Tamandua tetradactyla: one gene and its partners. The protein of the gene in region 1 interacts with the protein of each later gene in a biochemical or structural test. Links are inferred from orthologs where the notes say so. Each region holds a gene or a part of one and is shown on either strand. Other genes may lie near its edges.

Evidence for each region. The genes of interacting proteins can lie anywhere in the genome.
Region 2: the proteins of MSN (region 1) and SPN form a complex in vitro, tested with the Homo sapiens proteins (2 studies listed by BioGRID). The link is inferred for Tamandua tetradactyla from reciprocal best matches to the Homo sapiens genes MSN and SPN.
Region 3: the proteins of MSN (region 1) and ICAM3 form a complex in vitro, tested with the Homo sapiens proteins (2 studies listed by BioGRID). The link is inferred for Tamandua tetradactyla from reciprocal best matches to the Homo sapiens genes MSN and ICAM3.

What each region holds. Positions count from the first base shown.
Region 1 is NC_135353.1:107,466,287-107,474,347, forward strand, and holds the start of MSN (moesin), read right to left. Parts: upstream 3,059-8,061; 5' UTR 2,843-3,058; coding exon 2,831-2,842; intron 1-2,830. UniProt on the Homo sapiens protein: Ezrin-radixin-moesin (ERM) family protein that connects the actin cytoskeleton to the plasma membrane and thereby regulates the structure and function of specific domains of the cell cortex.
Region 2 is NC_135349.1:24,228,184-24,235,934, forward strand, and holds the start of SPN (leukosialin), read left to right. Parts: upstream 1-4,643; 5' UTR 4,644-4,757; intron 4,758-5,118; 5' UTR 5,119-5,146; coding exon 5,147-6,481; 3' UTR 6,482-7,751. UniProt on the Homo sapiens protein: Predominant cell surface sialoprotein of leukocytes which regulates multiple T-cell functions, including T-cell activation, proliferation, differentiation, trafficking and migration.
Region 3 is NC_135337.1:91,448,730-91,456,706, reverse strand, and holds the start of ICAM3 (intercellular adhesion molecule 3), read right to left. Parts: upstream 3,109-7,977; 5' UTR 2,210-3,108; coding exon 2,131-2,209; intron 1,543-2,130; coding exon 1,276-1,542; intron 1-1,275. UniProt on the Homo sapiens protein: ICAM proteins are ligands for the leukocyte adhesion protein LFA-1 (integrin alpha-L/beta-2). ICAM3 is also a ligand for integrin alpha-D/beta-2. In association with integrin alpha-L/beta-2, contributes to apoptotic neutrophil phagocytosis by macrophages.

The DNA of each region.
Region 1 (8,061 bases):
ACCAAAAATACAAGAATATCTCAATGAGTCAAAACATGCTATTTTTAGGGAATCTAACAGAGCCCTAAGGCCTTTTTGATCTAAAAAAAAAAAAGTTAAAGGGAGCAAGAAAGGGGAAAGATCTTTTCTATAATGTCTAATTGTCACCATAAAGCATAAATGGACATCAGTAAGCCTCTCCATTCTGGCACTAAAGCAGACTCAGTAAATAGGCTATCAGAAGCAGAGTCCAAGAGTTGGGGTCAGGGCAAGTTTTAACAGACTTAAGGGAGATTCACCTGACTAGAGGAGATAATTGGTAGTATAACTGAAACCAGTCCTGGAAAGACTGTAGACATGGTTAATATGAATGAAAGGGTTTGATTTTTTCTACTACTTTTCCCTATCTGTCATACTCCAGAAATAACTTAGAGCACACCAATAAAGAAAGGGTGAAGAATAAGGAATTTTTTCCCCTTCGTTAAAGTTACTGGCTGGTATTATGTTGACTAGGGTGTGCCCTTCAATGTCCCAGTACTAGGAGACACCTTGTAACACCCCCAACTCTCAGTAGGAGACCACACAAATGCCAACATTGATCAGTTTGCCCTTTTTTCTGGGGACCATGAAGCCTTAAGAACCAGGGGCAATTAGCTTTGGGTAAGAGAGGGAATTCAGACTTCAAGAACTCAATCAGTGGGTCAGAATAGGGGTTCAATGGGATGAACATGAAAAAACCTGGCCTGCAATCTTGGCTTTGTCACCAGGTGCCCTTAGATAGACCCTTTCCTGTGGGCCTAAACATCTTCGTTAGTTAAGAGGAAAAAAAAAAAAAGAGGGTTATACTGGATAAATAGTCTCTGAAGTCCCTTTCCAATTAAGAACCTATGGTCTTAACAGACATGATAAATAACTCTAATAACTCCTAAGAGTTGACCATTCCTTAAACCAAACAGCATGGAAAATTCTCCAGTCCTTCCAGTCTATCAAAATTCAGCCTTTTCCTCCAATTTGATTCAAGTTTCAGTCAACCTACATAAAAATATCTTCAGTATTCAGCTACCTTCAGAACGCTGGGCCTGACGACACACCGCCTCCAGTCTCTCTCTAGTCTCTCTCCATACCCAGGAAAACGATTACCATGTTGCCTTCATTGTCACTTTTGACCAAGATGGGATGGTTAAGGCAACATTGAGACAACTTTCAGGCCCATCAAGTTGCATTTACTGGTGGGATATCTCAGAATTGATAATGAGAGATGCCATTAGGTGAGAGGCCAAGGGGCAGTCTATTCCCAGAGACTGTGCACCACCACCTCCACTCCCCAACTCTTTAGGCAAAACAACACCTTAAGAGTCAACAGGTCAACCATAGAGAGGTAGATCCAAAGACAGATTCCTGGAAGGATCCTTACAAGCCTTTGTTTTGGCTGAGAAAATGTCTTGTTTTGTTCTTTACCCTCTCTTTTTCAAAGCCCTCTCTTTTCATTCTCTTACACGTGTAAGGGGGGAGGTGTTTGTGCGAAAGTGTGGCAAAGCCCACATCTTAAAACCACCAGTAATTTAAAAGAGAGATGGTGAAAGAGCATACTTAGTTGAAAACTTGATGTTTCTGAGGGACAGGGTTCTGGAAAGGCAAGAAAGACCTGACAATGAGGTTGGAACACAGCAGTGTGGCAACCAAAGCTCAGCACACCCCAGAAGAACTGGGCCCTCCAATCCCTCCTCTCAGCCCAGAAGCCCTCAACCCTTCTCAACATTACTGGCCACTATCTCAACTCTATAAGGCTCAGGCAGTCTTACGGAGAGTAAGCCAAGCCCAACAAACTGCTTAGCCTAAGAGACTCAAGCCAGGGTGGTCATCAGGCCTGCCTGAGCAAGGCAAGGGCCCCAGCAGCCATTTGGCGTGACTTGCACAAAAGCAAGCAGGGCTCATTAGTCAGGCACACCCCTCCCTTGCCCCTCCCTCCTGGGCATCCGGCCCCCCTTAGGCCCCACTCCCAGAAGGTTTCTGCTCTTCTCAAAACAGCCTGTGGGGTGGAGATCAGATCCTTGAGGCAACAACCACTCCACAAAGGTGTGGCCCAGCAGGAGAGAACCCACACCTCACAGAACAGTCCTGAGGGAACAGGAGGGGATAGGGAGGCATTAAGTAATGAAAACGGCAGGGATTTCTTGGATAAATAGGAGGGAGAACCGAGTTCTCTCCCCCAGGACGTGGCGCAGGCCTCTATTCAGTATGGCGCCTAGTGAACTACTGTTGCTCCTGGGTAAAAGTCAGCAGCTTCTATGAGTCCCTCCATAACTCTCTCCTTCCCTCCTAGCGAGAAACAGCTGGGGTAGCCCGGGGGAGCGGAGGGGAGGGCGGCTGTGGGAAAGGTGAATGGGGGTGAGGGATCCGCCCTGGGAAGCTTCCTCCATTCTTCCCCCTTCTCTGTCCATGACCCTTCTAGGCCAGTAGCAGCCTTGCCCCAAAAAGGCACCAATTTCTAGGGAGGAGGAAGTGTTCCCCTCCAGACCCAAGTCTTCTCTCCCTTCAGGCCACAGCCCTTCAGGAGCAAGGGGAGACCCGGAACCTCAATGAAGCCTATGCCACTCCCGCATTGCCAACGCAGGGAACTGGAACCTGAGAAAGCGGCGGCCCAACCCCGTCCACACTTCTAGCACTGAGACCCCACCCCCACCCCTGAGGGCGCGCCAGACGGGTACCCCACTCCCGACCTCTCCCCACCCTGACCACTAAGTACCGCGCGGCGTCTCAGGTGGGCGGCTGGCCGGCTAAATCCCCGGCCATCAACTAAGGACCACAGCTAGAGCCCCCGGGATCGTCAGCGCCCACCGCCGGCACTCACCGTCTTGGGCATGGTGGTGGCTAAGGCAGAGGAGTTGGTGAAGTTTGGCCGGGAGCTGTCGGGCAGCGCTGGGCGCGTAGTACACAAGGCTCGGGCTCGGGGGGCTGGGGGAGGACCGGGGGCTCAAACTGGGTCCCTCTGTAGCGTCGGAGCGACTGCTCGGCTTCCTGCTAACGGGCCACGACTGCACAAACCCCACCCAGGAAAGAGCCGCCCCCGTCGCGCCGCCTGCTCCTTTATGTGGCCAGGCTTCCGCGCCGCTCCCCGCCCTTGTGCCCGCCTTCCAATCGGCTGCCGGCCTTGCCCCGCCCACCCAGCCCTACCCGGCCGGGCCACACCAACCACGTTGGGTTCTGAGCTCAGCCTTGGCTACCAGGAGGACTCACCCCCACCCTAGGCCCACCCTGCTCCTCTCCCACCCCTCCCTCATCGCTCCTAACCCTCCTGGTCCGGACTATCCGGCCCCACCCCCACTCGGAGTCCGTCCCCTGAGCCGCGCCCCAGCGGATGCTTACACCAACCCCTGCAGCAACTTTCCATTGATGGGAAACTCACTACCTACCAGGGTAGCCCATTCCTTTTCAAGAGAGCCCTGACTCTTAAACAGTCTCTCTTTGTGTGTTTCTGTACTCCTTTTCTTCGTGGCTTCTAGCAGTGGGCCTCAGTTTTTCTCCCTTGAGTCACACAAACCCCCTGCTGCTGAAGACGGGATCCCACGACTCCCTGAAACTTTTCTTCTCTTAGCTAAATTGCCTCAGCTCTTCCAATCCTTTATCCGTTCTCATCTGTAAAACTCTGTAACCCTTACCCTTCAGATTTCCTTACCTTCCTTTTTCAGTCCTCATTTTCATCAGAATTGGGTTCCTTTTCCCCATATTATCCTCTATTCACTTTCCTTCCTCCAAATCCCACCCCCCACATTCCTCAAATCAGTACCCTGACCCTTTAGACCCTCCTCCAACACACACACATTCACTTTCTAAGGAGGCTATAATTCCCCCTAGTTTAGATACACCCCTAGTCCACTGCCTTGGTGTGTCTTCCAACTCCCTTTCTACTTCTTGTCAAGATTACAAAATATCAGAACAGCTAGACTGTAGTGGTTATATGGTTAACTCTGAATTTTCGTTTGAAAGTGTCTTTTTTCCACCTATCCACTGGCAACTGGTTGGAGCCATGGTCTGAGTATCCTTTGTGAAGTAGAGCACCACACCCTTCAGGGATGGGAAAAGGAGCCATTTGGTGGCACTGGAAAGGTTATTTGAGTTGGGGAAGGGTGGGTGATGTGTACAGTGAAGATCAGGACATCTGGCTCTAGTCATGGCTCTGCCATTGACTCACTGTAACCACTGTGTTACCTTGGGCAAGTCCCTTCCCCTCTCCTGGCTTGAGTTTCCCCTTCTGTAACAAGAAAGGGCTGGACTCCTAGGCTTCCATGGTCCTACCCCACTCTGACATTATAAAGGATGAAAGAGGAAGTAGACTCCTTAGAACAATAGATGAATCTCGCAGGGTTGTGTAAGGGAAGGCCTTGCATTTGTACTTAACAATCAGCAATCCTATTCCCTGCTTTTCTGCTTTCCCAGCTCACTAGTGCCCATGAGTCGTGGGCCTCGGTTTCTCTCACTGCTGCCAAGATTTATTGATCTGTGCTAAGGAAAACAAAGTCCCCTGCCCAAACAGTCTTCTAAAGCTGAGCAGTTGCCCCAAGGAAGAGAAGCACTCCCTGAAAAGCTTCAGCAGCAGAGGAAGCAGAAGTAGCCCATCACACTCCTTGACACTGCTATGGCCTCTCTTCCCAGTTCAAGGAACTCACTGATTCCCTCATTCATGATCACCTGGAGTACAGGGGTGTAGTACTAGCCTAAATGCCTAAAGATGGATGGGAAGCTGATTGGAAACTCCAACTTTCATGATCCACCCTGGAAACAACTTGTATGATCTTCCCCACCCCACCCCCCATACTACCACCCTCCACACACAGGAGCTGATTAAGAAATACCAAGCAACTGAACACACCATTAAAAGGGAAAGCTGTAAAAAGTGGATTAGTGGGTGGGGGTGCTAGAGAATAAGAGGGAAAGAGGGCCGAGAGAGAAAGATAGCATCTGGGCTCCTAGGAAGGAAAAGGGTGGGAAATGAGGGAAGCATAGATTACCAGACTGTTTACTCCAATCTCCCTCAGACTGGGGTCACTGAGGATCAGGAAAAATCTTCCTGGCGCCAGAGGAATCCCCCCAACTGGGGTTAGATATGAATTTATGCCAGTATTTACAGAGAAAAGACGTGGGAATAGGGCCTAAAGATGCCCACATAAAATCGGCTGCCCTGAGAGAGGGAAGTAAGATGTATGAAGAGACTCAGATTTCTAGAAGGGTAGAATTCAGAAAGTTCAGGGAGGGGCAGGCAAGCCTTTTTCAAGCAAAAGAGGCAGGTGAAAGCTAGGATGAGTAGAGGGTGGTACACAAACATTCTTGAGCTAGTGTCCAAGGAACCTAAGGACATCTGAGTGAGGGGCAGGGACTCTAAGGGAGAAAGATTTGGTCTGGGCACTAGGATTTCTTAGGGGCTGGAATCGTCTGGAGCTGCAGCAAACCTGGGAATGGCAAGCACTAACTGCTAAGGTTGATTGTCTGACAACTTATGCCAAGATTAAGAGAGAAATGTGATTGGACTTGTAATCACCTCCACATATATTGTTCCCACCCAAGATCTATGCTCACTGCAATAAGAAGCTTCTACATTCTAAATGACATTCCTCCTTCAGAAGATGCAGTGCAGGAGAGGCAGTGCCAGAGAAGAATTTGGATGGAACGCAATCCTGAATCCCAGGTGTACTTTGAATAAAGACCACCCCTGCAATCCATTGGATAAAAGTTCCCCATCACTTAGGACTCTCTGAAGGCTGCTTTTCATTTCATCAGTGTTTAGAAGTCATTCCTCACGTCTAAATTAGATATTTTCTGCTTCACTTAGAGCACATCTGCTCCTGATTGATGCTTGGGGAAGGAATTAATTAAGCCTCTAAGGTTCCTCTTCCATTCATAGAGGAGAGAAATGTAGCAGGGAGAGATGCTGTCAAACACCAGCCTGAGGCCGCACACTCATGCCTTCTCATCCTTACCATGGTGCTGTAGCCCAAACACTTGGCTAACTGAGTCTCTTACACAAACAAGAGAAACAAGAGAATAAGTAAATAATGTATTTCTGTCTCACCAAAGGAAAGAGGCCCCCTCTTGGCAAAATATGACTGAGAGCACAAACTGCAGCAGTAGGGAAATCTTGCTTTTAACCATCCTCAGTTTTCCACCCACTTCTTAGAAACAAAAGCTAGGGTTTGGAGGAAAGGAGAGAAGATAGCATTAATGACACATGTATCAAGTGCTGAGCAGTAGGGAGAACATTTCAATATCTAACCCTCACAAGAAACTTTAGCGGTAGGAGTAAGTTCATTGAGGTTCTGAGGAGCAAGTGACTCATCCAAAAGGTATATTGGTTTGCTGATGATGGGACAGAATATGGGCACAGGACTTATGACCAAAGCCCACCTTCCTTCCATCACAAGAACTTGTGACCTTTCCAATGTCAATCTGCGACCAGGCAAACCTATGGAAAGGGAGGCATTTTAAGATTCTTATCACTCCTGCACCTTAGTGGCCAACCAGAAGGCTTGAGGTAGCAGGTGGGTAATAATAAATGGCAGTGATAAGGCATCTTGCCAATATTAAGTGCTTGGGAATATTTATTATTAATCATACTAATGGACCACAATGAAAGCAAGGAGAGTTTTTCTCTGGCTTTTCTTCTAATAATGTTGGAAGCTTTTCAAGAGTTTCCCACAGTCAGCCAATATCAATTCAGTTTGAGTCAGTGTCCTCTTGGAATGTGAACTTAGTCTTCCAGAAAGGATCTCCCAGGCTCCCAATCGAGTTATTGGCCCCCAGCCCCAGCTCCACCTACCACTGACCACATATATGTGGCCAGTCTGCATGCAGGGCCCAGAGAGAAAACAGCCAGCTGAGCCTATGGCCCCTCCTGAACTGTCCGCGGTTTAAACTCGATGCACCTAGGAGGAAACTCTCCATCTGTTCCCCAAACCCATGGGTCCAGCAGTGACCGTGTGCCTGTTTGGTGCCAGGGTCTATGTGAGGCTCTGCAAGGGGTACACACCTTTTTCCTCCCTATTAGCTCTCCTTCCCAACAGCTGTATATCTGTTGATGGTTTTGCTGTTAGCACTGTCCTCTGTATGCACATCATCATCTTTAACTCTCCTCTGCCTGAACCCTGTCATTTGGCTACCAAACCCTGCTCTCTGTCCTCAGCTTCTCTCTCTCCCAACTCCATTGCCAATACCCTAGGTCAGCCCTCACATTCTCTGGCCTGAACTATTGCAACAGGTTCCACCCTGGTCTCCCTGCCTCCTGGCTGCCCTGCCCAGGCCATGTGCACTCTGTGCCAGCTATACTCCCAATCTACCTCACAGAAACACTCTCCTGTGCACAAAAAGGTATTTGTAAGGACATTTACCTTGGTGCTGTAATAATGAAATAAGGGAAACAACCTACATATTCACCCCTAGAGAATTGAGTAAATACATTATGGTATAGCCAAACAATGATATAATGGGATATTATTCAGCCTTTATAAAGAATGAGCTACCATGAAATGAGGTTTTAGATCTATTATTAAGTAACAGAACAATATGAATAATATGATCCAATTTATGAATTAAGTATCTATGCATTCACACATATGTTTTAAAGTCCCTGGGAAAGGGGTAAGATACACAGCAAACTGATAGCAGTGGTTATCTCTGGAGAGACGACTGGTATTGTAAAGATGACTGGTATTTGATTTTTTTCAGTGAACAGAGATTACTTTTATAATTTTATAAAACAATAAAAAGGAAGGAGCAGGAGGAAGGAGAAAAAGACAAGGAATGTGAGAGAGATAATAGATAGCTTGGATAACAGAATCAGGATCCAAAAAGATTTTTACACCCTAAATGATGGTAAAGCTTACAAGTGAGACAAATGTAAAGACTGTGTTTGAGATCAGATAACCAATTTCATGAGAAAAAGATGGGTAAAATATGGCTTAGCAGCACCATGGGAGAAAAGACCTTTGAAGTTTTACTTGATAATAAACTCCATAAATGTCAGCAGTAAACTATGACTGCCAGGACAATTAATTAAAGGCCAGAATGTAGTGTTTAGGAGGAAAGGGGCAA
Region 2 (7,751 bases), on another chromosome or scaffold:
TGCTAGTGATCAATGAGAGGGAGGGGTAAGGGGTTTGGGATGTATGAATTTTTTTCTGTTGTCTTTTTATTTCTGTTTCTGAATTGATGCAAATGTTCCAAGAAATGATCATAATGATGAATATGCAACTATGTGAGGATATTGTGAATTACTGATTATATATGTAGAGTGGAATGATCAAAAGTTAAAAACGTTTGCGTTTGTTAAATTTTTTTAAAAAATTTTAAAAATTAATTTAAAAAATACTGCTATTAGCCATTTAAAAAAATGTGTGCGGAGGTGACACATATGTGACATCAACTTTCCCGGTTTTAACCCCTTTCAAATATACAATTCACTAGGGAATGGGGAGTTAACAATGGGTACAGAGTTTCTGTTTACGGTGACGGAAAAGGTTTGCTAATGGATGACAGTGAAGGTAGCACCACATTGCAGGCGGAATTAATGCCACTTAATTGTACAGTCAATAATGGTAAAATCGTACATTTTTACTTATTTACTTTATGAGACCGCAATAAAATAAAATAAAATAAAAAGATCCAGAAAGGGCCACAGTGGCTCATGCAGGCAGAGCTCTTGCCCGCCATGCCAGAGACCTGGGTTCCATTCCTGGGGCCTGCCCATGCAGAAAAAAAAAAAAAAAGATCCAGAGAGGAAAGGGCTGGCTTGCAGAGGCCCACAAGTGAGGGGAGAACACTGTGAAAAGAGATTGGGGAACAACAATTTCGGGGTATATACCTAGAAGGGGGATGGCTTGGTCATGTGGTAATTCTATACTTAACTTTCTGAGGAACCGACAAACTGCGCTAAACATAGCAGCTATGTTTTTTCCATAGCAGCTGCATCATTTTACATTCCCACCAATGCATCATTCATTTATTTCCTTATTAGAGGATTTGTAGGTTCACAGAAAAACCATGCATAAAATACAGAGTTCCACGTACCACCTTGTTATCAGCACTATGTATTAGGGTATATGTTTGTTACAATTCCGGAAATAATATTTGTAGAATGGCACAATTAAATTAACTGCACTCCATCCATTGCGATAGGATTCGCTGTGTTGTACAGTCCTATGTTATTTTTGTTTTTATTTTAGTAATATATAGACAACCTAAAATTTCCCCTTTTAACCACATTATACATATATAATTCAGGGTTGTTAATTTCGTCCACAAAGTTGTGCTCCCCCCGCCACTATTCATTACCAATACTTTATGATCAACCCAAATAGAAACTTTGTACAATTTAAGTGTTAACTCCCCATTCTCTCCCCTCAACAATTCCGCTGGTAACCTAGATTCTAGATTCTGACTCCATGAGTTTGCTTATTCTGAATACTTCATATCAGTGAGATCAGACAATATGGGCCTTTTATATTTGGCTGGTTTCACTTAACATGGTGTCTTCAGAGGTTCGTTATGTATCAGAACTTCCTTCTTTTTTTTTAGGGCTGAATAATACTTCACCACATGGACAGACCATATTTTGTTTGTCTGTTCATCTGTCAGAGGATGCTTGGGTTGCTTCCACCTTTTGGCTATTGTGAATAATGCTGTTGTGAACACTGGTATGCAAATATCTGTTCGAGTCTCTGCTTTCAGTTCTTTTGGGTGTATACCTAGAAGTAGGATGGCCCAGTCATGTGGTAGTGGTAGTCATGTGGTCATGTGGTAGTTAAGTCACTTAACTTTCTTCTGGAACCACTGAACTGTTTTCCACAGCAGCTGCACCATTTTACATCCCCGCCAACGCATCCTTCGTTTCGATGGGCAGTGTCCCTGCTTTGGTCAGTGGAAACCACCTTTAGCTGGTTCCGTGTCCTTTTGACATGCTCCCATCATTCCTTGTGCACTTCCGTACTTTCTGGTACAACAAGATGTTCCAGGCTCATCTGGGACTTTCCCTGGAAAGTACCTTTTCTCCAAGGAACCCTGATTCCTTTTTCAAGGGGAATGGTATTTAGAAGCCAAATCAGGGTGTCAGGTGCTGGCTCCATTTTGAAAGTAGACCTAGTAAGATTTGCAGGTGGGTTGGTTGTGGAGTGTAAGAAAAAGAGAGGACATATCAATTTGAGCTTTTTCAAGATCCAGTTGAAATACCACTTTTCTGAAGTCTTCCTAGCCATCTCCGCAGCTGAATCTAGTGCCTATTTTAGCCAATATTATATTATTTGAATGATTTATCCGCAAGGGTGTCTCTAAATGCAGCACAATAATTAAGTAGCAGCCTCTGGTGCCACAGGGGAGACCCCGCGTCTTTAGCCTTTGGCTACACCTGGCTTTAAATCTCATCTTTTGAACTTACTGGTGGTAGGAATGTGGGCAGGTCTCTTAACCGTTTTGCTTCTCAGATTTGTTTCTCAGTTTCTTCACCTGTAAAATGAGAACTAGGCGATGTAGAAGAGGAGATAGGAGGCGGGGTGGTGGTTTTCTTTGAATCCACAGGGTGGGGCAGGGGATAGGAAACGCTCTATAAATATAAAGTGCTTGGCCGTGAGCCTGGCCTGTTGTAAATGCCTCTGGCAGCTTACTTATCCTCTTTGCACCTCAGTTTCCTCATCTGTAAAATGGTTCAGTGTGAGACACAACAGGAAGTATTCTGGTGAACAGTGAGTGTGGGCTCATGGCAGCTGCTGGCATTTTCTCAGGATTGCTTCCCTGTGTTGCCTTGAGAGTAATGGCCGCCTCTTGTTTATATTTTCATCATCTTTAGTCTGTCCTGGTCAGACCCTATTTCTTGACCTCTGTAGGTTAGACCCTGGACTGTCCCCATTCTCTTAGCTTTCCCCAGAATGGATGCCTGAGGCACAGTGGGGGGAACTAACAATTTGGTCAGCAGTGATTCGGTTGAAATGACAAGCTTGGCAAAAATGAAGTCTGCCTCCGTGATTTTTTTTTTTTTTTTTTTTGATATTGGAACTCTTTGTGCATTCTGACAAATATCTTCACCTGTTTTCTAGAATTCAATTTTTTAAAACTCATGCTTTCCTGCTTTTCTGTTTGCATTGGCAAAATATTGGAAAAGTCAATAGGTCTGACCGTGAGATGGTATCTTTTCTTTCATCTTTTTTTTTTTTTCCAGCAATACATGCTCATTATAGAAAGATGAGCATGAATATTCACTACACACTGCTAGTGAAATATTCAAAACAATGTAAATGTTCATCAGTAGGGATTACTTAATTAAATTGTGGTGTGTTCTATGGAATAGTACGCAGCTGTTTTATGCATAGAGATATGTAAATATGTCCCCAAACTGTTGTTCACTAGAAAAGTGCAGGGCAGCACATATGATAAAGTCATATTCATATATATAAATGACATACATGGATGATTGTGCAAACACAGATACTGTCACAAGTGTTTAAGCAGTGGTGTTGGGTATGGATCCTTTCTGCTTTATACCTTTCCCACTTTTGGGAGAAACCATCCAGTATGGGCCCTGAGTATCCCTCCCTGTTCTTTCTGGGCATGGCAAGGAAGCTTTTTACTCAGTTCCATTTCTCAGAGTTGTGTTTTCAGTGAGCCTCCCTGAGGGATGAAGTGTTATCTTCTTCCAGGACAAAGAGTAGGCTTGCTTACTGCCTGCTATAAAAGAGTGGTACCCCCCCAAACTCCATGTTCCCCAGATGCAATGCAAACCCACTGAGTGCAAGGCAGCAATCCGAGCCCCTCTGCGTCACTCCCGTGGGACTTGCGAGTGAGAGGAGCTGATGCGAATGTCCTGCTCATATCGCTTACTGTGCTGTGAGTAGTAAACTCCTGTGTCTCTGACCCTGGAGTCTCATATCTTTGGGTCACACTAACTTGTTGGCTTGTTAGTAGAGGACAATCCCAGACTCTACGGTTTCTTGCTTCAATGTCCTATATATACATGTGTCACTTTTATAATATAAACATCAGTATTGAGTGTGTAAGAAAAGAAAGGCAAAAAGCAAAAACATACGCATACCAAAAGTCAAAGCATACTAATTAGAGGAAAGTTAAGAAAACAGAAACCAGCCAAAGAAGACAATAAAGAACCTCCTACTTATATCTATCCAAAGACAACTTGATAAAATCTCAGTAGACATCTTTCTGGATCATTTTCCATTTAAATTCCCACGTCTCTGTTATTATTCTACAAAAAATATGACCACAGCATATGCAGTGCTGGGTTAATACCTTGTTTACTTAAGCAGCCCATGACTGAGGACCATTGGACTGACCCCTAGCTCCTTGTAATGAACCCAAGAACTAGCCAGGAACACATGGAGCTGCAAAGGCTTTCACTGCCCCCAGCCAGGGTTGGGGATTCCCCTTGCCCTGGTATTTCCTGGGAGCTCTTTGGGCAGGAAATGGCAGGCCCTGGCCTAGCAGTTCGGGGACCACAAAAGCAAAGAAAACCACCCTTCCCTCCTACCTCCTCCCTTGCACCCCTAACTCCTAAGCATGCACTCCCATTACCTGACCCCATCCCTACTCCAGCTCCACCCTTTGCCATTCTAATCCTCAGCCAAGACCCAGGAATCTCCATTCCTATTTCTGAGACCCCAGAACCCTCAGGCCCCACCTCAGACCCCAGAAAGAGTAGGTGATGGTGCTTTCAATGCAGAGCAGCTGCAGGAGAGGGCGGGTCAGGATGCAGGGGTGGGTGTGGGTGGAGCCCGCACTACTTCCTTTCCCCTAGAGGCCTTGTCAGCCCCAGTCCTGCCCCAACCTCCAGAAGAGTTGCAGTGTCCTGGCCCCGGCCCTGTGCCCTCATCATCTGAGCTGGTAAGGGGGTGCGACCTGGGGGGCTGGAGCTTCAGCGCACCTGGGAATGTGCCTCTGGCATGCAAGGATCCTGATGGGCAATGGGGCCAGACAGGGTCCGGGAAGGCCAGGAGATGGTGGCCATTGCTGGGGTCTGAACTGCTAAGGCCTTCGGGGCCTATGGGGTGGTGCTCGTGGGGAGCTGCCAGCATCTGTTCCCTTGCTATTTCTGATAATAGTAAAAGCAAGAGTGGAAAAAGCCGTTAAACCACAAGTTGGGCCTGGCAGTTGGCAGGGAAGTGGGTAGGAGAGGAGGGCCTGGCTAGCCCCCACTCCAGCTCCTTCTGTGTGTTCTCTTTCTCCAACTCCACCCCCCACTCAGGTTCCAAACCCTGCTCCTGCCTGTTGCAATGGAAATGGCCCTGCTTCTCCTCCTCTTTGGAGGCTCCTGGGTCCAGGTCATAAGCATGGAAGCACATTCTCTGGGAAGCACATCTGCACGGGGAGCTTTTGCCAACATCTCAGATAGCACTGTGACCTCCAACTCTTCAATGATAATGGACCCGCAGAAGGTTGGCAGCCCTGGGGACCTTAGCTCAACCCCAGCTTCCTCAGCTTCCTTTATAGCCAGTGAGAACCTTGGCACTGCCTCTCCTGAACCTGGGTCAGCAACCTTCCAAGAAGTTTCCACTAAGCAGCCATCAATCGTCCCAGAAATCTCTAATACAACCAATGACTCTGCTGTCCCTGGAACCATGATTTCTCTGGGGACCCATACTGAGACTAGTGAAACTATGACAAGTGGTGCTCTGGAGAAATTCAATGGGACGAGTGGACCCCCTGTCACCATAACAACTAGTTCTCTGGAGACCTCCAATGTGACTGGTGGACCCTTTGTCACCATGGCAACTACCTCTCTGGAGACCTCCAAAGGAAGGAGTGGACCCCCTGTCACCATGGCACCTACCTCTCTGGAGACCTCCAGTGCAACTGGCGGACCCCTTGTCTCCATGGCAACTACCTCTCTGGAGACCTCCAGTGTAACTGGTGGACCCTCTGCTACCATGGCAACTACCTCTCTGGAGACCTCCAGTGCAACTGGCAGACCCCTTGTCTCCATGGCAACTACCTCTCTGGAGATCTTCAGCGGGAGGAGTGGACCCCCTGTCACCATGACCACTAGCCACCCAGAGACCAGGACCAGCAGCTCTCCTGTCTCTGGGATAGAAGTACCGGCTATGGCCACCTCAGAGGCCTCCATGGACTCAACCACCAGTGGCTCCCTAAGTTCAGATCAGGGGATGAACGGCTCCCTGCTGGTGGCTGTGCTTGTGGCCCTGCTGGTGGTCGGGGTCCTTGTGGCACTGCTTCTGCTGTGGCGCCAGCGGCAGAAGCGGCGGACGGGGGCGCTGACGCTGAACAGGGCTGGGAAGCGCAATGGGGTGGTGGATGCCTGGGCGGGGCCAGCCCACATTCCTGATGAGGAGGCTGTGATAGCCACAGGGGGAGAGCCCGGGGGTGACAAGGGCTCTGGGGTCCCCCCCGCGGAGGGCACTGGCCGAAGGCCCACGCTCACCACTTTCTTTGGCAGACGGAAGTCTCATCGGGACTCCGTGGCTCTGGAGGAGCTGCAGGCTGGGTCGGCCCCCAGCCCAAAGGGAGAGGAAGAGCCGCTGGTGGGCAGAGAGGATGAGGCCTCTGATGGGCCAGAAATAGGAGATGGGAATGCCCTTCAGAGTTTGTGAATAGCAGGAGTGGGGTCAAATTCATTTCCAGCTTTTATCACCTTCCTCCTGCCATCACCTCCAACCTAATCCTCACCCAGCGTGTTCAAAACCAGCACCGTCCCCTGACTCTTCATCCAGCTCCTCCACCCTGGATCTCCCACCAGCATCCTCACCCTGCGTCTTTACCCTGTGTCCTCACCCAGCTTCCTCACCCTGTGTCCTCACCCAGCCTCCTCATCCAGCCTCCTCACCCACCACCTGCATCTGGCACCTCATCAGGGCCTTCACTCAAGGAACATCATTTGTGGACTGAATGAATAAACCTTCTTCACCACTTCCTACTTCTTCTCCCCATCCCTCTCACTACCCCTACACCATCTCTTTCTCTCTCTTTTGCCTTTTGTCCTTGGAACGGCTGCTGAGTCTCCATAATGCCAAACTTACTCCATCTAGGATTTCTTGGACAATTCCTAAGGGGATATCAGAGTCTAGGAAGAAGAAGCAAAGGACATCCTAGTAAACTCCCACCTGGGATTAATTTTGTAGATTATACTTGACCCCAGAGATTCAAAGGACCTCCCTGGCCCTGGGTCAGCCTGGGAACCTACTCTAAGTTTGGGGTCCAGTCTTTGGTGTCAGCTGGGTGGGGCCATCCAGCTGTGTGCTCAGGTGTGCCTGTGACCTTCCCCAGAGAACCTGGACTCGAGGCTGGCCCATGGCCCATCCCGCCACATGGATTGAGATAGCAGAGGCTTGGGGACTTCCTCTTCTCCAGGGCAGAGGTGAGAAGTTTCTGGGCAAGTGTAGTTTTCAGAAAACCCAGCATCTGCGTAAGTTCATTCCTGGATGCAGTTTGTGTGCAAGAAGTGAGGGTTTGGAGGGTTTTGTGATGCGTTGGTGGATATGAACTGAGTGAGGGAGGGCTGCCGGAAGGAGTGCAGAAACTGAGGGCTAGCCAGTCAGAGGCGGGAAACACAGGAACTGCTGAGAACATATGTGCCCTTATTTTGGCTTGGGTGGGGTGGAGGGAGCAAACTTAACTGTGTAGCCCAATAGAGAATGCTTGACTTGCTAGAAAGACCACATGGCAAGAGGAGAAGAGCCTGGGGGCCTGGGGGCAGACAAATTTTGTTGTCCCTCTAAACCTAGTGGTCTTTGCTGACCCACCCCTCTCTGCTTGTCTGTTTGTCCGTATGTCCTCTGAGCGTCTCCCCTTCTCCAGGAGGAATCAGTGAGAGTGAGTCAAATAAGGAGAGGTGACAGGCAGCTGGAACAACACAGAACCTTC
Region 3 (7,977 bases), on another chromosome or scaffold:
CTCCCTGGCAGCGTGGGATCAACAATTCCATACCGACCAAAAGGGGGAAAAGAAGTGTAACAAAATAAGGTACCCGTGGCAGAGAGAGTTCAAATAGAGTCGAGAGGCTACTCTGGAGGTTACTCTTATGCAAGCTGCAGTTAGACCTTGCGGCTACCATAGCTTGCCGACCCCCAACCCAAACCATTCCAGCCAATCTTAAAGAACACCTAGGGCAATGTATAAGATTCCACGAGGATTCCATGCACTAAGTTAGCTTTCCAGAAACCTACAACCTCCAGATGGGTCCCTGGACCAGATAAGTCCTGAAACCTAGAGGGCCCAGCCTCTCCAGAACATCAGCTAGTTCCATCTCCCTACCCCATATTATCGACAGCCTCTTCCAACATGAAAAAGTTAGAATGGGCATTGCCCAAATACCCCTAAGGAGTGGGAAAAAGATCAAAGGTAATGGTGGAGTTATACAGAGAAGGTAGGGGTTTTTTTTGGTTTGTTTTGTTTTGTTTTTTGCGTGGGCAGACACCAGGAATCAAACCTGGGTCTCTAGCATGGCAGGTGAGAACTCTGCCTTCTGAGCCACCGTGGCCCACCCAGAAGGTAGGGTTTAATTAACGAGTATGATTGCTGAATCACTATACTGATCTTTCTTTTAGTCTCGAGTATCTTAGAGCAGCTAGAAATAAAAACCTAAAATTGTGGAATTGTAACCCATACCAAACTTTGAAATCTGTTCTACAACACATTGTTGCGATGTTCTTGGAAATGTATTTTTTTTTGTATATGTTATATTTCGCAATAAAAAAATGTTAAAGGAACCAGACTTTCAGCTTCTCACCTCATGGGCTGGGAACCCTGACTAGTGGCTTCTCCCCACCGAGCCTCAGTTTCCCCACCTGCAAAACGAGGGTCATGCCTGCACCTCTCTGCTGGGGACTTCTGTACGGGCTGAGTGAGCAACTAGGGGTGAAGCGCTTAGAAGAGAGCCCTCTGGTCATCAGCATTAGGTAAATGTAGATTTTGCGTTTGCACCATTTTTTTTTTATACTTTTTGCACACGAATTACCTAGCATAAAAATTAAAGTAATAAATAAATTACCTGAGATGCCATTGTAAAAATGCTTATCGGGACCCCAGACAAACTGCTGTCAGCACTGCTGTCCTTAGCATGTGGTTGAGATGTGTCCCCCCTGTCTGTCCAGGGCTGGCAGTCTAGTCCCACCGACGTGACCTCCCCAGGCCCGCCCCCTCCCCACTGCCCGTGGCCACTCCACTCACGGTACACGGTGATGTTGGTGGAGCTTGACATCTGGGAGCCGTGGCAAGACACGGCACACAGGACCCGACTGTCATCAGTCACCTTGTGCAGCCAGAAGGCCACCCAGCTGGCGCCGCGGCCCTGCAGCTCCTTGTCCAAGGACGTCTCCAGGGTGATGTGGGGGGTGCCGGGGCAGTTGGTGCTGCAGTTTACCAGCAGGGACCCGCGGGGGGGCACCAGCGGCTCTTGGGGCTCCACCCACAGCGAGAATGCCTGTCCCCAGATGCCTGTGAGACCCGGGAAAGCTCGGTTGGTTGCTCCCCTGACTTCCCCCACCCCACCCCCTCACCATTCAGCACCTCCTCATTCTGGGATCTAAAGGGGAGCCCCACCAGAAGGACGCCTGCCCTCCATGGGGGAGGACAGATGATTGATCAGGGGTGGGGAGACTCCAGGGGAGGCCCTGATCCAGTCCCAAGTGGGGTGTGAGTCAGGAAAAGCTTCTTGGAGAAGAGGGGGCAACTACAATGTGTTTTGAAGGGTGAATAGGAGTTCACCAAATGAAAGGGAAGAGCGTTTCTGGCAGAGGAATAGCATAGGCAAAGGCTGGGGTTCCCAACAGAACAGGGGAGTCGTGGGTGGATGGGTGGGGAGATGAACAAGAGAACGCAAACTATGTGCAGGGTCGGGGCCCCGGGATGCCCTGGAGCCTGAGTTAAGGATGCACAACTTCCTCCCGAGGACACCGGGGAGCCCTCTGTCAGATCTGAGTTCAAAGAAAGGTGCGAAGCAGCCAGGCCAGTGAATGTGGGGGAGCTTGGCTTTCTCTGCTCCCCCATTTCCCACCAACCCTGCCCCAACCCACCCCAGCTCACCTGGGGGCAGCAGGCAGGCCAGCAGCGCGAAGACAAACAGAACCTGGTGGGCCGCAGGCAGCATCCCCGAGGGCACCATGGTGGCCAGCCCGTGGCACACAGGAAGGTGGCGTAGGGGGCAGGGGTGGGGCCGCCCAAGGGACGGAAGTACGGCGGTTAAGATTGCAGAAATCCAGGGGCCACACCTTGGCCAGGCCTGGGGAAGGGGCAGCGGGAGGCTCTGCGGCCTCGGGTTGGGGGTCCTGGCCTGCAGGGGACAGCTCGGGGGGGCCCTGCGAGGCGGTGGGTGCTGGTGAGTCCCCGACAGAGCCGGTCCCAGTAGCTCTGCGGTCCCCTAAATGAACACACAGGAAGCGCAAACCCAACCGTCTTCCTCTGTTCTCAGTACTAAGGACCCCAGCGGCGAGGGAAGTTGGAGGGGAAGGGACCCCGCCTTCCCGCTGAACCTTGGGCACGAGGCGCTGTGCCCCCAGAGAGGAAGTCAGTGGGAAGCTCTACGCAAATGACTTTGAGCTGATCAGGTGGTATTTCAAGAAGGAGTTCAAGGCATGGCCTCCAGGGGTTAGTGTGAGATCTCAGCGTTCCTGGTGATCAGAGAAGAGGTTTTGGGGTGATAATAAGGGATCCCCTAGAAAGAGCCCTAAAAAATGAACAGAGCCCATGGGGATTGAGTGCTGGCTTGGTGCCAGGAGCTGGGTTGAGCAGCCAGCCCCGCTTTGGCTTCCTGCAGGGCCCTTTCCTTGACAATGGCCGAGACCGGGGCCCCTGGGTCTTGAGGATGCTGCTTGTAACTGGCCTTCACCCCTGCCCGGTCCCCCTCATCACCCTTCCCTCCAGACAGCTGGTCTCTTCGCTCCAAGAGAAGGGGCCGAGGGGCCAGGTGGGCAGACCCCCTCCACCTGCGCTTCCATCTCTGGGGCGTCTTATCCTGCCTCCGAGCTCCATAAAACAGACTTGGTTGATAGCTTTGATGGTGCCCCAGCTTCATCCATTCTCCCCATCCCTAAAGCTTCACCCCACCCCCTCTCCCACCTGGAGGATCCCCACCCCCACCCCAAGCCCAAACAATTCCACATGGTATTGAGGGAGCAACTCAAATCCCAATCCAATCTCAGCACCCCCTCTACTTAACACCTTCCAGCAACTCCCAAGCCAAATTAAAGCAGAGTATTCATCTGGCCCCTACCTGCTCCTATCCCCGCTGACCTCAGCTCCTCCCCGCCTCCCCTTCCCTCTCTCTGCTCCAGCCACGCTGGCCTCTATGCTGGGCCTCAATCCCACCCAGCACATCTCTGCCTCAGGACCTTTGCATGGGCTGTTCCCTCTGCCTGGGCCACTCTTCCTTTACACATCCACCTGGCTTCCTCCTTCCCCTCTGCCTGCTCTGATGGCACCTTAGCAAGGCCTTCCCTGGTCTCCCATTTCACACTCTGACTTTAGTTTTCCCCCCAGAAGTCATCGACTTATGTACTTAAAATTTTCTCACTGGTTTCGTCTTGCAGTTCATCGAATCTTGAGAACATAAGGGAGGAAGCTTTGTCTAGTTCACAGCTGTGTCCCAGTGACTCAAACCACGCCAGGCCCATGGCCCGTGTTCGTGTGGTTTTCTGTACCCCAGAAAAGCATGTTCCTATACTTACTCCATGCCTGTGGGTGTGAGCCCATTGTAAGTAGGATCTTCTGATGAGGCTGCTTCAGTTCAGGCATGAGCCACCTCTTTCAGGATGCATCTTTTTTCCCCAGTGTTTGTCTTTTTAATTTTTGTTGAGATATCTTCACTCACCGTACAATCCATCCAAAGTGTGAAGTATACAATCAATGGCTCGCAATATCATCAGGATGGGTCTTAAACCTCTTGCTGGAGTCCTTTATAAATGGAATGGAGAGAGTGAGAGAGACATAGATGCAAGAAGCTGAAGTCAATGAAACCCGGAAAGAAGGGAGGACCCAGCGGACACCACGATGTGCCCTGCCAGGTGACAGAGGAGCCAAGGGTCACCAGCAGCAGCCTTTGAGAAGAAAGCATCGCCTTGATTTGGATATGTTCTTGGCCTCAAACTGTAAGCTAATACATTCCCATTGCTCGTGCTGAACCATTTCACGGTATTTGCTTTAAGCAGCCTAGGAAACTAAAACAGTGCTCAACAAATATTTGTTGAATGGATGCACATGGAGATTGGGTACGGGAGGCTCGAGGGTTTGTGGCCCCTGGAATCCTTCTGTGGGGCCCTCCCAGGCTCCCATGGACTCCTGGTTACGTTGTCCCGTTGGAGAGTGGCAGAAGAGACAAAACGCCGGTTGATAAAGGGGACAGATGATCCATTCCCTCTGTGCTCCTGTCCTTGCCTTGCAGATGAGTCAGGTCACACCAGGTCAATGCCCCACGCTCCCGGGCCAAGGGGGAGTGGACGGAGAAGTGGGGTATCCCGGGAGGAAGTGGGGGTGGCAGCGGCAGCCAAGTTTCCAGAAGGCAGAGGCGATGACAGTCCCAGCCCATCTCTGCTCACCTCAGTGGGGGCCCAGAGACCTGACATTAAAGGCTGACGTCTGAGCTGAGGGGTGTCCCTCACACCCAGAAGCCATGTGAAGATGTGAAGTGGTTTATTAGCTGTGATTTTGTGTCAGGCTGTGCTTGGAACCTTGAGTTTCGTTGTCTCTAAAGTGGGGATGTTCAGAGGCCCTGCCTCCTAGAGGCATGGGAGGAACCAGGCACCTGAAGCAAAAGAACACACGCGCAGCTCTAAGCTTGAGCCCTCGGGGTGCAGCCCAGGTGTAGCTTGCCTCCCAGGCCTTGTTTGCATACAGGGGAGGCTTGCATCCAGGTGTAGCTCATGTCCAGGTGTAGCTTGCATCCAGATGTAGTTTGCATCCCAGGTGTAGCTTGTGTCCCAGGTGTTGTTTGCATACAGGTGTAGCTCATGTCCAGGTGTAGTTTGCATCCAGATGTAGTTTGCATCCCAGGTAGAATTTGCATCCTAAGTGCAGCTTGCATGTCAGGTGCAGCTTGTGTCTCAGGTGTAGCTTGCATCTCAGGTGGACACTGTAGGTGGGTGGGATTCTTGTCTCACTGACCTAAGGGCTGCAGCAGTCTTCATCCCGTCCTCAGCAGGAACACGATGATGATGACTCTCCCTCCTAGCCTGGCATGATTAAGCACTTTAATATGCACGCAGAGCTTCTAACCCTCCCCCCTAAGCCCACAAAGTCCCCTCGTTTTTTCCGTTTTACAGATGAAGCCACCCTGGTCCCAATCAGGTGGGAAAATGCTACTCAAAACTACAAAACGTTAGGGCTTTTCTAATGAAATGACAAGGCAAATGCCATCCCAGAGAAGCCCCAACAGGATATTGCATGATGACGTGGGTTGAATTGTGTGCCACAAACAGATGAAGTCCTAGTTCCCCAAACCCATGAACATGATTTACAGGAGCTACTGGGCCTTGGTCTAGAATAAAAAGAATATTGCAATGAAGTGAGACACAAAATTTTTTTGTTTTCCAGTGCACATAAAAGCTACCTCTACACTAGACTGTAGGGTTTAAGGGCACTATAGCATTAGCTCTAAAAAAAAAAAAACATTGTATATATCTTAATTAAAATGTGACAGAGAGACACAAAGTGAGCACATGCTGTTGGAAAAAAGGCTCAGATAACAGTTCCTTAGGACTCTAAGTATAGAACTGCCATATGATCTGGCATTCCAGCTACTAGGTAGGTATCTACCTCAGAAGAACTGAAAGCAGGATCTGCGCTAGTTTGAAATGTATGTACCCTAGAAAAGCCATGTTTTCAACCTAATCCCATTTTGTAAAGGCAGCCGTTTCTTCTAATCCCTATTCAGTATTGTATGTCTGAAACTGTAATTAGATCTTCTCTCTGGAGATGTGATTTAATCAAAAGTGGTTGTAAGCTGGAGTAGGTGGAGGCGTGTCTCCACCCATTTGGGTGGGTCTTGATTAGTTTACTGGAATCCTATAAAAGAGGAAATATTTTGGAGAAAGGAGATTCAGAGAGAGCAGAGCAGAACGACACAGCCACGAGAAGCATTATCCACCAGCGTTTGGAAATGAAGAAGGAAAACACATCTCAGGGAGCTTCATGAAACAGGAAAACCAGGAGAGAAAGCTAGCAGTCAATGCCGGGTTCACCATGTGCCCTTCCAGATGAGAGAGAAACTAGAACAGAGTAGCAAACAGACATTGGCATACAATGTTCAAAGCGGCATTATTCACAATCGTCAAAAGAGGGAAACAATCCAGGTTCCATCAAACAACGAATGGACAAACAAAATGTGGTATACACATATGATGGAATATCATGCTGCTGTAAGAAGAAATTAAGTCTTGATGACATGACTTAAGCATGTGACAACATGGATGAACTTCAAGGATATTATCTTGAGTGAAAGAAGTCAGACGCAGTGTGTGATCTCCCTGATAGGAACTAAATATAACTAGCAAACGCATGGTGTTGATATATAGAAAATAGGTCACCAGAAGACAGAATGAGGGCAGAAAATGGGCAGCTGATGCTTAATTTGTGCAGAATCTGTAGTAAGGTTGATTGGGAATGTTTGGGAATGGATGGAGGTGATGGGAGCACGTTATAAGGAGTGTATCTAAGACGAAGGATAGGTGGGTACAGCTGAAAGGAAAAGTTTAGAAGGAAAGCCAGAGCGTGACACATAGGATGTATAACATAGCAAACCCTCTTCAGGGCGAAATTGTTCTAGAATTAATTGTGGCGATGTGTGCACGACTTTGCAAAGATACTAGAAGACAGCAATTCTGTACTTTAGATGGATTGTACGGCATGTGTATTTATCGCGAAAAAACTGCTTTCAAAAAAATAAAGGGAAGAAAGTTGGCACCAATACACTTGCTTGATGCAGGATTGCCCCAAAAACTTCAGGTTGTAAAAAAAACAGTATCTACGAAGCACAGTAAAATGAAGTACAGTAAATATTCTAAGAAATGATGAATATGCAACTATGTGGTGATATTATGAATTACTGATTATATATGTATGTGTTAGTTAGATTCAGTTGTCAACTTGGCCAGGTGCGCATACCTAGTTTTGTTGCTGTGGACACAAGCAAGCCAATGGTACGTGAACCTCATCTGTTGCTAATTATATCTGCAGTGGGCTAGGAGGCGTGTCTGCTGCAATGAGTGACGTTTGACTTAATTGGCTGGTGCTTAAATGGGAGAACGCAATGTAGCACAGCCTAAGCAGCTCTGCATTCCTCATCTCAGCACTCGCAGCTCAGCCCAGGCCTTTGGAGATGCAGAAAGAAGTCACCCCAGGGAAAGTTGTTGGAACCCAGGGGCCTGGAGAGAAGGCCAGCAGAGACCATCCTGTGCCTTCCACGTAAGAAAGAACCTCAGTGGAAAGTTAGCTGCCTTTCCTCTGAAGAACCAACAAAATAAATCCCCTTTTATTAAAAGCCAATCCGTCTCTGGTGTGTTGCATTCCAGCAGCTAGCAAACTAGAACAGTGTAGAACGGAGTGATGTCAATGTTTTAATTTGTTTGTTGTTAAAATTTTTAAAAATTAATAAATTAAAAAAAAATGAAGTGCGGTAGAATGAAGGATGTCTTGTTTAGAAATAGAGATGCGCGGGTAGTTTAGAGGTAGAATTCTCGCCTGCCCAGGGTTGGTTTGATTCCCAGCCCATGCACTCCAAAAAGCAACCAACAACAACAAAAAAGCATTCAACAAAAGGTGCTGTGATAACGGGGTATTCACATGGGAAAAGAATAAAATGTGACACCCACCGCACAGCATACAAAAAGAGAAATAGAGTCTTTGCAGACGGAATTAACACGAGGCCATATTGGACTAAGG